Danio rerio: one gene and its partner. The protein of the gene in region 1 binds, or shares a complex with, the protein of each later gene. Links are inferred from orthologs where the notes say so. Each region holds a gene or a part of one and is shown in the gene's direction. Other genes may lie near its edges.

Region 1 (3,589 bases):
CTCACATGATCCAATAAAAGTAACAGACGAACACATAACCGCATTCACCATTTCATATGCATACTCTGAAGAGCAGGTACGTTATTTTATATGCAAAAAGACCCTTAGTGGCTTCTCCTATTGTAGTAACTCTCATTTCTTCTTCATGATATTTGTCCTCTTCAGCTTATTGGATGGAAACAATGGTTTATTTGTTTTATGTGATATGCCAATTTTGCACACAAATTAAATGTGCCACTTTGTATGAAAATATAGCTACTGTCATGCAGCAGGATTGATTTACAAGCCTTGTTTTCATTACAGCTGGCAGAGGATCTTAACGCACTTTGGGCCTTTATTACATTCTATGGAGGTGACTGTCAGCTCCATTTCAACAAAAAGTGTACGCATCTGGTTGTGCCTGAACCAAAGGGGGTAAGCATGTTTTTTTTTGTGCCTATAATATTAAATGCATAGTACGCATATGGCACTGTGTATCAACACAGTGTTTAACTTCATCCTCTTTCTGAAGAAAAAAGGGGAAGGTGTGAGATTTTGCAGATCGCTTAAAGTTTACAAGTAATAGAGTGCGTTTAACAGCTGCTATTTGCAAGACTCTGTCTAGGTTTACGTCTGTGGGTTGTTTGCTATTGGATCAGTTGTGGAGTGGGACTGGCAGGCTGGTTTTGTTTTATTGGCTCTGAATGGTGCATTTTAAAAAGAATCAGTTTTATAGCCACCGTTCTTACCGTCTAGCTTTTTAAAGCTTGCCATTTATTGGCAACTATTGGTACCCAAACAAATGTCATTGGTTATATTTGGTGAGAATGCTAACCTTTTTAAATTGAACTCTGAGTTAAAAACATTCTGTATAATTTAACAATTTACTGTGCTGATTCATGCTCTGTTTTGACTTTGATGCTCTGTCTTTGACTTTGAGGCCATGGATAATTCAGAATGCATGTAAAGCTATGTAAAAATTGTAGTTGTAGTTCATTGTGTTGTTGTATATTAACTTATTTGCATGTAAATAATTGGTCTAGCTTGTTGGCTGGCTGGCTGACCATATTTTTAATTTATCTATTTGTCTAAACTTATCAGCAAATCAAACCTAAGTTTGTGTTCTCTCTGGCTCTCTGGTTTGTGTTCTCTGGGAACTCTTGTCCGCTCACAGTCTGCTCTCCTGCTTATTTATGTGGGAGTGACCTGCAGCTGGTTTGGGCTCTGCTGATTGAGGAAATTAAGCTCCGCTCACTTTTAAGGGTGTCACGATCCTCCAAATCCTCGATTCGATTACATTTTCGATTCTAAAGTGACGGTTCGATTCGATTTTCAGTTATGAATAATTAATAACAAATTAATTATTTGTAGCCTACAGTTTAAACTACCTGACCTGCATGGTCTTTGTTTTACCCATAAACAAATCATACAGTAAATGAATAAAGGCAAGTTACACACATAATTACCACCTGTCAATCTCTTTTTTTCTACGGGACTCATGAATAGGCATTGATATGTGTCGTTATAATGGCTGCGGTAAAAAAGGTGCACATGCAACAGGAACCAGCCAACAGTATCTGAGGTGTGCGCTAAAATGACTAAGTACAAGTGAGTGAAAGATTGAAGCAGTCTACTGACCCGCTAACTGCCTGTACCCGCTGTCTTGAGCGCATGGCTGTGTGTGCGTCTGTGTCTGTGTTTGGTCACGTGATGTGCGTTTTCAACGGTAGTGAGGAAAGAGGGCTGCTCAGAAATGCTACACGCCACTGTGGATGTCAAATCGTTGTCGTTCTAAAATGCCATTTAAAAACAAAGACATATTAGTGTAAACACTGCCAGAGTGTGTACTTTTCATGAGCGGATTTGCAACGGGGGCGGGGCAGAGGATCGCGATGCCGGTGTTGTCTATTGGACGAACCCTAATACGTGCGTTGCAGAGCTTGCAAAACTTTTTTTTTTTTTTTTTTGTCGACAACACGAACGTTATCAACATAACTCACTGGAAACCAAAATGCTTCCACACCGGCGACTTCATTGAAAGAGGAGAGGGTTTAAGCTCTGTCGACAGGTCTCCTGCGTCTGCCGTTTAACAAGCTCTTTAACAAGCGTGTTTTTTTCCCGCTTGGCAAGCCAAGCTGACTTGACATGGGGGCGTGGCAGCATCGACGATTCTATTTTATGATTCGATAATCGAAATTGAGCATAAATTTCGATCGATTTCGATTTAAAATCGAGATCGTGACACCCTTACTCACTTTATTGGTTAATAAGCTTACCTCACAAAAATGATGGTCATGCATTTGCTTTTGGAGACAGGTCTGTTTAAATATTATTATATATTCAACACAATTACACAATTTCTAATCAATTAAGGCTTTGGTGGGACAAAAAAAGCTGTTTTCCGGCCACTAGGTTGCTGTTGAAAGTGGTGTTCGTAAGGCTAGCAGGGGGTGCTTGACCTGTGGTCTGTGAGTCCTAATGCCCCAGTAAAAGTAAAGGGGACACTATACTGTCAGTGAGCGCCGTCTTTCGGTTGAGACATAAAACCGAGGTCCTGAGTCTCTGTGGTCATTAAAAATCCCATAGCACTTCTCGTAAAGAGTAGGGTTGTAACCTCGGTGTCCTCCATCGGCCCTCACTGATCATAGCCTCCCAATCCTCCCCATCATGCTCGTGCAGAGACTGTCCAAAGGGCATGTGCAGGATAAAATTTTTGAAGAGCAGGTGGGGGTTGTTGTTGTCGTCGTCGTCGTTGTCGTCGTCGTCGTCGCCGCCACCGCCGGGTGCATACTGAAGAGTGGTTTTGTCACGCGCGTACTGTTAAGCGCGGGGTGGTAGGGAACACGCGTACTCAGGAGCGGTGTTGTCGCGCGCGGGAATCAGTGCCCAGAAAATAAACTTTTTTTTAAATTCAACAAGAAATAGGAAAAAAATCACTTTTTTTTTAAGTCAAGACACGATGATATTGTGTATAGAAGATGCCGCATTGGACGCACAAGACTCACGCATGAACATTTACTCAAAGGAGAAGAACCCCCATAATGCCTTTATTGCAACAAAAAACAAACTGTTAAACATATTCTTGTGGAATGCCCCATTTTTAATGTTCTTAGACAACAATTTTTAACTGGAGAGACTCTAAGTGAAATTTTTAAAAATGTTAATCCTTCTAAAATTGTAGAATTTTTATCAAAAGGAAACCGTAAAAAACTGTTTTAGATTTTTATCATATATATTATCATTTTTATTATTATTTATGTATTTTACCTTGTGTATTATTTATTTCTGTTAATGACTTAATTTTTTTTAGGACTTTTTTTAAGAATATAGAAAAGTGGTATTCATAAAATGTGGTAACCTTGATCTGTTTTTTTTTTGCCATGACATAGCCATAGAAGCTGAAATGGCAATAAAATTAAAACTCTCTCTCTCTCTCTCTCTCTCTCTCTCTCTGAAGGGCGGTGGGGGGGCACTTTTGATCATTTTAGAAGGGCACTTTCTATCCAAGACTAAAAAGGACATGTGCACTGCACAGGTTGAGCCCTATGTGTGCATGTGCCTGCTCCCCATGCACTGAATTGTCTCTATTACTATCTCTCCACTCCATGTA
Region 2 (2,706 bases), on another chromosome or scaffold:
ATAAGTTTCATCGCTTTATTTTTTTCAGAGATGGCTTTTTAAACCGAACAGGCGCTGCCCCAGTAACACACAACCGCGTTTATTTAAAGTGAGCTGCAATAAAGGTCTTTTGCACGTCAAATACATAAAGTAGATTTTATTAGTGGTAGCTTTTTATTGTAATACTAAGCAGGAGGCTTTGTTGTTTTCTGGTAATGTAAGGTCAAATATAGGAGTAGTTCATACTCAAACCTCCTACTCAACGTGGTCACCATTCATTTTCATTTGATGGATATAAAGATGCTGTGGTAACTGAAGCTGGTTATCTGCATTAAACTCTTCATGTTGCACGAAACAGGATTGAAACCCCCAATCAAATATCATTTTGATGAACTGTCCCTTTAAAGAATCTCTCGCAGTATCTTCCCTTTTTAAGATGTCTAATAGACGTCTAAACAGTCCTCATGGCTAAATAAAGGGCTGTCAGTGAAACTCCAGTAGACGTCTAAAATAGGCCAAAACTAGACTAGTCATCAAATAAACAGAAATTAATGACTACATATATAAAGTCTGTCTATCTGACGACTAGTGTAGTTTTGACTAATCCAAGCTGTTTATGTTTAGATGTCTATTAGACGCCTATTAAACTAAAAAATAGTCTGCTGGGGTTCCCCACCCATACGACTCAATGCAATTCTCAGACTTTTGTTTTTCATTCCAAATAACCTGAACTTATAATAAAGGCAAGGGTGTTCTAACCAAAATAATAGCTACAGGAAAGCATTTTAGCAATTATACAGTGAATTGCAGGTCACGAGTCAATGGCTCAGCGCTTTATAGTCATTTTGGAGCATAAAGCCTGAAAAATGTATGAGCAAAATGTTGTGATGACAGCGAACAATCTGAAGTGAAGGTGCTGCTGCTGGGCCTTCTGAGGTATTCGGAGCTTTATATTGTTGTTCATTTGATGTTTAATTTATTCTGAATAAATTATTTTTGAAAAACCATTCCTCCTTTCTTATTTCCCATTATTAATCAGCTAAAAGTGAATTTATCTAAAATGCACACTGAATCACTTTAGTGTCACATCACGACAAAGTGATTTAATTCATTGTGCATTTTAAAGAAATCGCATACAAATCACATTTTAAAGACATTTACATTGAGTGAATTAAATCTATAAAATATTACGTCACAATAAGTGTACATGAGAGGGTTAAACAAATGAAAAAATTGGTTTTGCGTCAAACTGTGTTAAAATTCAGAGGGAATATGTTCAATTGGTTTGAACTTACCGCCGAAATGTGATTGAGGTAAAGAAAGACCAATACTAGCGCAGACGAACCAAGCGAATCAATCAGCTCTCGCATATTCAGATACACTCTGATTGGTTCGTTACTTTGCGCTGTTTATGCACTGCAAGTTCAAGCCAATGGGGGATTACATCCGCTCTGGTTTCACCACCGACAACCAATCAGGTCTGTACTTCCCTTCGCGCAACCAATCAAATGTGTGGGCGGGACTATGCTTTGAACGTTCAACCAGTCTTTAAATACTGCAGCAGTTTCACTGCCAATGTACTGATTTCTTGCACACGCGAAGAGTTAAGTAAGCCATTCAACATGTCTGGAAGAGGTAAAACCGGAGGAAAAGCCCGCGCTAAGGCTAAGACTCGCAGCTCCCGCGCCGGTCTTCAGTTCCCCGTCGGCCGTGTTCACCGTCTCCTTCGTAAAGGCAACTATGCTGAGCGAGTGGGCGCCGGTGCCCCCGTGTATCTGGCCGCCGTGCTCGAGTACCTGACTGCTGAGATCCTCGAGTTGGCGGGAAACGCCGCAAGAGACAACAAGAAGACTCGTATCATCCCTCGCCATCTCCAGTTGGCCGTCCGTAACGACGAGGAGCTGAACAAACTGCTCGGCGGAGTGACCATCGCACAGGGCGGTGTTCTGCCCAACATCCAGGCCGTGCTCCTGCCCAAGAAGACTGGCCAGGCTGCAGCCAGCTCCGGCAAATCTGGAAAGAAGGGATCTTCCCAGTCACAAGAGTATTAAATGTTGAACTGAGCTAATTCATCCAAAGGCCCTTTTAAGGGCCACCCAACTCTTCTGAAAAGAGCAATTTCCATGTGTCTGAATGTGATATAGCTTGTATTTTTGAGATGCATGCTTTGCTTATTAAATTGTCATTTTTTAATAATGTTAATGTTGGTGTTTTTTGAACCGATTTAGGCTAACTGTTATCACAATTTAAGAATTTACGTTACTTCAGTGTTTATTTCTTAACGGTACATTTTTTTTTTCTCATAATTAATTTATACGAGTTAATTTGGAAAACGGAAACTAGGTTTTCATAAACACAAGGTAAGGCAAAGTAATTCTCTGGTCTTTTTCATAATGTAAAAAGTCTTTATGTATGAGTGAACGATAGTGTGAGTCTTGTTTTCCAGTGTCAGCAAAAAACCAAAGAACTCATCAGGGGGTTGTTGATATACTTTATTATTTATAACACATTTTTTAATTCATTCTCATGTTGATTTGACAACACAATGTTGCTGGCCAAGTAATTGCTATAGTATAGCTGGTCAATTTCACATTTGGAAGGCACTTTACAACTTGCTACATAAATATAAAATATTAACACGAACTTAGACAGCTAATTTTGCCAGTAAAAATCTTACATGGTGCTAAAACACCCATAAAATCTTAGCACCTCAGTACTTTGATTATT

What was found. The genes of interacting proteins can lie anywhere in the genome.
Region 2: the proteins of paxip1 (region 1) and h2ax are in contact, whole or in part, in a crystal structure (PDB 3SQD), measured with the Homo sapiens proteins. The link is inferred for Danio rerio from reciprocal best matches to the Homo sapiens genes PAXIP1 and H2AX. Residues at the interface, in NP_031375.3 of Homo sapiens: Phe871, Thr872, Gly873, Phe874, Pro876, Lys907, Thr909, Arg910, Thr911, Val912, Lys913, Pro986, Glu1050, Leu1053; in NP_002096.1 of Homo sapiens: Gln138, Ser140, Gln141, Glu142, Tyr143.

The regions. Positions count from the first base shown.
Region 1 is NC_133177.1:32,875,748-32,879,336, reverse strand, and holds part of paxip1 (PAX-interacting protein 1), read left to right. Parts: intron 1-303; coding exon 304-414; intron 415-3,589.
Region 2 is NC_133180.1:31,151,518-31,154,223, reverse strand, and holds h2ax (histone H2AX), read left to right. Parts: upstream 1-1,558; 5' UTR 1,559-1,601; coding exon 1,602-2,030; 3' UTR 2,031-2,175; downstream 2,176-2,706. UniProt on the Homo sapiens protein: Variant histone H2A which replaces conventional H2A in a subset of nucleosomes. Nucleosomes wrap and compact DNA into chromatin, limiting DNA accessibility to the cellular machineries which require DNA as a template.